Styela clava: one gene and its partner. The protein of the gene in region 1 interacts with the protein of each later gene in a biochemical or structural test. Links are inferred from orthologs where the notes say so. Each region holds a gene or a part of one and is shown in the gene's direction. Other genes may lie near its edges.

Region 1 (3,935 bases):
GCAGGAAATGAATAGTAAGTGTAATAGTCTGTGGCACGAATAGCATGAGTTTCAAAACATAACACATAACCGCTGCAAGAATCAAAGCATATTTAAAACGTTGGAGTCACATTGTTCAAATTGGAGGCAGTAGTCCAAAGTTTGTAACTTTGCCTTGTCCAGTTGTCCGTCACATGGGCAGGCTACCGGTACCGCGGTCAGTCATTTGAGCTTCTTGTCTATAAATTTGAGCATTGCTTTATTGTTGCCTCTTATTTATTTAATTGTCGGTATTTTTATTCATTATAATAATTTATTTTCAGTTACGAAGGTGGAATTGAAATTTTGCCATATTTGGTGGGATACTCCTGCTCTCAATGTCCAGACGATGCTTCCGTGTGTATTGACAAGCTGTGTGTTTCTCCAACTTAGTATTGAAGAGTGTTTTTATTGACTTTATTGTAAATTGTTATTCACATTTTAGTTTCTTGCCGTGGTATCTGTTGGGTAACTTTTTATTATACGTGCATATATATATCTTCATTAGTATGTCTCCAAAATGTCAATTTTTGGGAAAATTGTGAAGTGACTGTATAGCAAGAATTGAGATTTAGAAAAAACTTTGTAATTAAAGTGGAAGGGTATGCGAGTTTGATAAAAACCCCGTTAAAAGCATAGTTCCAAAGCCTATTTCCGTTTTCAAGATTTTCATTCATAACGCACATCCGGTGAATAATATAGAATGAAATCCAATAGCAATTTTATATGAAAGGTAGTGGCGGCTTTATTTGCGATAGTTGCAAGGAACCGACAAACAACTCAAGTAGTATCGATCCTTTCTGCCAGGTGTAAACTATTTTAATACTACTCGACTTAGGTCTCGTTGCCAGACGAACGACCAGCGTTTGTCATATGATCAAACACTTTCCACATTAATTTGTTTTTTTCGACAATATATGTACACTCTGGTACACTGACATATTTGTTAGCATTTTGTACACTCTTTGGTTTCCGTGTCGACTGCTAAAATGTAAATTTATTTATACTAAGCGACTCCTTACACTTCCTTTAAAATGTGAACGAAGGGGTCAGTAATGTGCTCAACCGGAACGAAAGGTCGAATCGACGCAGACGACGTTCTTGCTTTGGTTTACGTCGAGACAGTTTCAGTGAGTTGAAATTTCCCTGATGGCGATGGCGTAATGGCGAATTACGATAATTCAAGGAAACCAAAGTACAAGTATGGCTTACTTGAATCACCAAATACATCGTATTTTTCAAGTAGTAGCGCAAATGAGCTCAGTGTTACATCTCATCAGCAGAGAAGTAAGGGTAATACATCGGGGAATTTTACCGGTATTTTTGATGCTTCACCTCTGAGTGACGACGTACGGTCTCCTTTGATGTCAAGGCAACAGAATGTCTGGAACCAGCAAGTTCGTCCAAGTAAAATTTTACTGATCAAACGTTGACAACGGAACTAGCCTATAATGTACCTGTATACTGAGCAGACTAGAATAGACTGGTATTGTTGTTCGTTGTAGGCTATATTAGGGTCTAGTCTGGTTGGTCTCGGTCCAGCATAAACAAAGTACATTTTATTCTAACATGAGTTTATCGCTTATGTTATTTTGCAATTTTGTTCAGGATTAAGACAAAACTTGTACAAGCATCGTTTATATTTAGGGGGCGTGTGTTTTCAAAAAGCCAATTCAATTGAAATTTAATTTCTTGTAAATCTTTAGCACCCAAAAAAGATATTCGTAATTTTATACGTGGAATTTTACAAACGGCATAATAATATTTTCAGGCCATGACTCTTCTATTGCCACTGTTGCAAACATATCTGGTATCAGTTCGATCGCTGGCGAGCAGAGAGGCAGAAGTACGGAAAAGACATCAAACTCTGATACACTATTTGCGTCCGCGGAAAACTCGACTTTACGTGTGAAAGAATGTATGCGAACACCAAAGAATACAAAGAATACAGCATTGTCGAGGCCAAGCACAAGCAGCGATTCATCCCACGGTATGTTAAGGTTGCAGTCCCAATTCCAGTTCAAATACTAATTTGTAGTGCAAACTCCCCTTTTTATAGAACAAGACCAAAACAGGGTCTTTCATTCTGGAGATCTGGGTTTCTTGAGCACATACATGAGGTAGATGAAGTAATAACGGCATATTTACGGCTGAATTGGCCGGTATTGAATTTTGCCGTTTCGTGACATATACTAATTTGTAGGATTAACCACCCTTTCGCTAGAATTATACCAAATGGATGGATTTCATTTTTTGGACTGAAATTTTTTGAGTGCAAATCGAATATATAGAAAAATGACGTAGCCTATTTAAAGCTCACGTGCAGTATAAAACCGCTTGTATGGCTTGACCATTTTTAATTCATTTTATTTCTTCCCTTTTCTGTACTTGATTGAAAATTGCATGAATTTAAAATATTTTTTGAAGTTTTCCAGCTTCCGACGGGGCGAGCGCCTCGCAAAACCCCAAAGTTAACACCAGGAAGGAGCAGCTCACACACAACACCTAGAGCTGTTGATTCTACTTTGTCTGGGGCTTCCAGGTTAAATTATATTATTTCATTCTAAACTTCGACTCCTTGCAATTTGAAACCCGAATCCGGCTCCGACTCTGGGATGTCAAAAAATTGACTCCTAGTTCAACTTCCCAAAACATAGTTCTCCAGACGCTTTTTTCAGTCTAAATATCAATTATAGTTTTGACTCGAAGTCTTGAGCCCGTGAAATTGAAAATGCAGAACAACAAACGCTAATCCAATTTGTTATACCGTATTTAAATCTCTGTAAAAATGAACTTCTTTCATAACAATTGAGTCGAATTGACAACTTACAACAAGCTGTTCCACGGGTGCGATGGATTGAATTTTAATCCAAACTCAAAGATCTGAAAAACCCAATGGCTTACAACTTGTAAATCTGTTACCCATTATTTTATCATTTCATAGTCTTTATTAAAATCTTTTTTTTATATATATATATTTTCTTCATAAGAAACTTTACTCTGACAACTGAGTTTCTACTTTGAAGCGTACAGTAGCTTACCCAAGCCAACGAATAAATTTTTCCTAACTTTAAATTAATTCATAACTAATTGGGGTATTGGCAACAGCTCAAGTACGCCAATAACACCAGGACACAGCAGGCGAACACCGCGTAGTGCCAGATCAGACGTAACAGACACACCTAGGATCACAGAGTCATCGAATATCGTAGCGATAGTGGAAGGGAGAGGATTGGCAAAGTATCGTGATTTTGTATATTTTTATATAACTTCAGAAAGAACTTTAGAAACCCGTTTGTTTATCATTTCAATCTATCGAAAATTTTAGTATCGTTTCTTTTGATGAATTCTGTGTCCAAAACGTGACCAGTTATTCTCAGTGTAAGCCCTTAAATTTGCTCAGATATGAATCGGTATTACTTCTGAACTTCTGACCTTGCTTTAAGCGAATTATTTTGCCTAAATATGTATGTATATTTATATGAAGAAGAGATTGTGAATGTTGTACCGATAATAACCATGGATGCGGGAGTCGGAGAAATTTATAATCCAATACCGACACCGCGTGAAGAAGAAAATTGTCTTCGTGTGGTAATTTCCGGATCCGACTCCAATGAGAACATTCAACTCCGATTCAGACTCGAATTACTGAAATTTTCAATTTTGTTTCTAAAATGCTTGCTTTTCAAATTTCGCTAAAATGACACTCAAAATATTTTCACAGAGGAGAGATTGGAATGGCTTCCATTGATTTACGCCATCCAGTTTTGCAACTATCTCAATTTTCTGATTCTCAAACTTACGTGAAAACTATAACTCGACTTCACCTACTCTCTCCGATCGAAGTTATTTTTCCAAGCACAATGTGCGATGCTGGAAATAAAGTCAAAATATTCAGAGTTGTTTCGGACAATTTT
Region 2 (3,935 bases), on another chromosome or scaffold:
ACCCCGTTCATCTCAAAATTGTTTTAGATACAAGGGAGTAAAAGTATACAAACTTGCAAATTATGGGCAAATATTTGTATTGTATTTGCGGAATCTTTTGTGGAAAGCTTCCGCCAAAAAACTCCCACAACAGTCTTCCCAAAAATATGCGGTAATTATCTAGTTGTGAGTTAGCGCTGGAGATGCAGATTGCGCTGGAGATGTAGATTGCGCTGGAAATTATCAGATGCTTAACCCTAACTGGATAATTACTAATTTTTCATTTTAAAATGTGGCGTGGTGTTTTTCCCAAACTATTTGGTTGGGGCCTTATAGAAACATCGTATTTGCGAAACACCGCTGCTAAATAACCAAGAAATATAAAGTATATTATATCGGTATTATGTACAGTACTCATAGTACAACTACCGTATATAATTCTCCGTGGTACAACAAGTACCTGCATCTCTGTATGTAGCAAATACGATAAATATTAACTTTATGTGGAGCAACCTACAGACCTAGGTGAAATATGTGTATTGCCCAGTCAGAGACGAAATGGCAACTTGATGTTCTTGTGACACACATCGCCATCCGTCAAAGTGAAAATTAAATGGTCAACGAAACGCAATTCAGCGGCTCTTGTTTAAGACGTCCAAGTAAATGGAATTAACAACTCATTCTAGCATTATTCAGTTGTCTGGTTATTGCAGTATTGATGCTACTGCAGAATTCCACCGAGGTGTGATACCGTAAAAGCGCCTAACTTCGGACAAAATTATTATATTTTCGTCAATAACTCGGCCATTTATTGTCCAAACGGTGCCAAAATTGCTCGGTAAAACATTCGTGCGGTAATTTACATTCCCTGCAAATTTCGGTTCAATTGGACTATTTTTACTATTGAAATAATCGATATTTCTTGCCATCTGACCGTTATCCTTCACTGCCCTAACTTCGGACAGTCATTTTCTTCACTGCGTAACCGCGACGCACAGAGAGAAAGAGGCTCCCGATGCGGATGACGTAATCACGTCGTTGCGTGAAGATAAGACGCTCGATCGTCGTCGTAACGTAACATTGACGTCACGACGAAAATGCATTATTTGAAACTTCCGTCGTCCTATGTTTACATCTTTCGTTCGTTATTTTCGATACTTCAGATGAGTATAATAACACGTTAGTCATTTTAATCAGGAAATGCCGGTAGTTGCAGACGACAGCATGCATCTGCATAGTCAGATAGTCCATTAGTCTGGTTCACCAAGCCGTTACCATATTTTTTTCTTATCCAGCAGTACAGCTTTATCATTACTTCAGTACAGCGGTACCGGTACTTCTGTACTTCGATATGGACACGGGATATTTGTCAGATCCCTCGAGCAATGTTTCTTTATGTCATCGTCATTTGTCGAGTCCTTTTCAAAATGTTCTTTCTCGATCTATAAACAATGCTTCACATGGAACACAAAATTATCAGAGTATTGAAGCCACCTCTTCAGGTACAAAGTCTACATGCAGACATGGACTAGTTGTCCAGCTGTGTCTGATTTATTATCTCATCTAAATGCTGAAATGTTTAACCTGTTCTGACAGCAGAAATATATATATATATATATATATATATACTGATATATATGTTATATAGTTATAAAAATCCGATATCTAAATCTTAGCAGAACAAAAACAAATAAACATATTAACAGGTTACCATACTGGGGCAAGGATTAGTAATGTCATATTGACATCTTGCTTTTAATAACTTGGATAAAACATAGCCTACATAAGGTAAAGATAGATGACTTTGCATCTTCTCAATATACTGATATAATTTGAAACCATAGGCTATGCGCAAAATTAGTAGATTTAGTCTTGGGATATCAAATTGAAAAAGTTTTGTATTTTGGAAATCTCACTTGCATTTCATTTTTTTTAATTGTTAGATAATTTTACTGTAATTGCGGTCCTATAATACCGCTGGCACATTCTGACATAGTTTGTTTTTCTAGTTTCACCATCAACAAATCGACCATCATCATTGTCATCATCAGATATTCAGGAATCTGACATTGTGTCTCATGTTACTCATCATGCCACTGGAGAAAATTCACCAACTGATGAAGACCAGCCAGAGGTTTAGTTCTCTCTTATTTTCCCTTCTGCTTACATACAGACATATGGTCTTCAGATTATCAGATTGGTTTTGCAGTCAAGATGTTTTATATTGCGTTTTTGAAATAAATATATTTGTTACCTATCGATTTTAATCGGTAAGTATGTTGATAGGTATTTGTCTGTCTGTCTGTCTGTCTGTTAGATGCACGCGATATCTAACGAAAGCGAGATTGAATCTGCTCCAGATTTTGCATGTGCATTCATCATATGTCGTACCAGAAGCCTATTGATTTTGGATGAATTATGTCGTATAATTAGCGAGATATTAATTATTAGTGATGGGACACAAGGTGTCACTATGGAGTAAGAGCGCTGTTTGGGGGGATCCCCTGTCTTTCGATCGATAAGTCTTTGGTCTCTGACCGATATTCTCGTTGTAAGAGTCGTTAACCTATTCACAATAAGTTTTTTGTTTTGTTGGGAAGATTTGCTTAAAAATTTAGCCTGTCCATTGAAGTATTAACAATGCTGCACAAAGGTAATACTGTAATATGGCTTGCAAATACGACTCTTCGTTGTCAATCTGTTACCACCAAAACGATATATGCACTCTCAATAATGATTTTAACATAGATGGTAGACAAAAGCTTGTAGCACTATTCATCAGACCCAACACATAACCTCTTACATTTTTAATCTTCCTTTTTTTCATGTTTTAAGATTATTATGACAATCTTGTGGTATGGGGGTCGACTTGGAGCAGCATATTATGATTCGGATTCTGCAATAGTTCATATACTGCTGGATACACTAGAAACTGATTCTTTTACATTACCAAGGAGATGTGAGTTTTTCGAACTGTTCACAATTCACAATTTGCTTTTGAAAGCTTGGAAAAATATATATGGGTATATATTATAAGGTATAGAAAGATGATTCATATATTTTTTATACAGTAGGAACCGTATGCACAAAATTAAAAGATTTATCATGGGATATAAAATTGAAAAAGTTTGGTATTTCATAAATCTCTCCTGCATTTCATTTTGCATAACTTTGATGATGTTCATCTCAATATCTTTTAAAAAAGCACTAAACATTGTTGAATACAATTCAACTGAATTGTTTGCACATCCCCAATTTGAAGATGAATCTCGAAGTGGTAGCATTGGTTTAAATCTGTAAATATTTATTATATGAGGTTTTGTCCTTGTCGCTTTATATAATATTGTCATTGTTAACCATGTTTGAGGAGATATTTAATTTTCAGTGGTGGATGAACTTCATCCTTCTACGATAGTGACCAGTGCCAAGCAAGATGAAAGATTCATTAATTTGTTAAAAAAATTAACTGGAACAGCAGATGATGAGGTGGAAGGAGTATTGAACTCATCAGGTATGAGGCTGTAACGGTACTCGTATGTTGATTTCGAACTACCGTACTATGTCTTACAGAAGATTATTTGAAAATAAATCAAATGTTATGCTCCGATTCGAAATGATTGATTAAATATTTATGTTGTATATAACCAATTTTTGGATATGTATATATAGGCATAGATAGGTATTCTGATTACCTCTTTTTTCAAATGAAGTAATGACTTAAATGTCATTTCTCAATAATAAAATTGGTTCATATTAACACACGAGCATTTACATAGGGCTGGGAAAATAGAAAAAAGTACTATGTACTGTACATTGGATTTCAGTCCTATTCAATATTCTTTATAAATTAAAAATTGAGTTTCTGCTCACATGCCAATGCGTACAGCACATCTGTGATGGAATGTACAAAAAAACATAACCATTCTGATTCTGAGTGTTTCAGATAGGTCTACACC

What was found.
Region 2: the proteins of mutS protein homolog 4-like (region 1) and mutS protein homolog 5-like form a complex in vitro, tested with the Homo sapiens proteins (2 studies listed by BioGRID). The link is inferred for Styela clava from reciprocal best matches to the Homo sapiens genes MSH4 and MSH5.

The regions. Positions count from the first base shown.
Region 1 is NC_135250.1:4,577,783-4,581,717, reverse strand, and holds the start of mutS protein homolog 4-like, read left to right. Parts: upstream 1-1,128; 5' UTR 1,129-1,181; coding exon 1,182-1,425; intron 1,426-1,789; coding exon 1,790-2,008; intron 2,009-2,445; coding exon 2,446-2,560; intron 2,561-3,126; coding exon 3,127-3,258; intron 3,259-3,742; coding exon 3,743-3,935. Other genes in the region: GLIPR1-like protein 1, read left to right, coding at 1-14, 303-411. UniProt on the Homo sapiens protein: Involved in meiotic recombination. Required for reciprocal recombination and proper segregation of homologous chromosomes at meiosis.
Region 2 is NC_135259.1:8,594,425-8,598,359, forward strand, and holds the start of mutS protein homolog 5-like, read left to right. Parts: upstream 1-1,185; 5' UTR 1,186-1,330; coding exon 1,331-1,481; intron 1,482-1,988; coding exon 1,989-2,113; intron 2,114-2,814; coding exon 2,815-2,938; intron 2,939-3,364; coding exon 3,365-3,490; intron 3,491-3,935.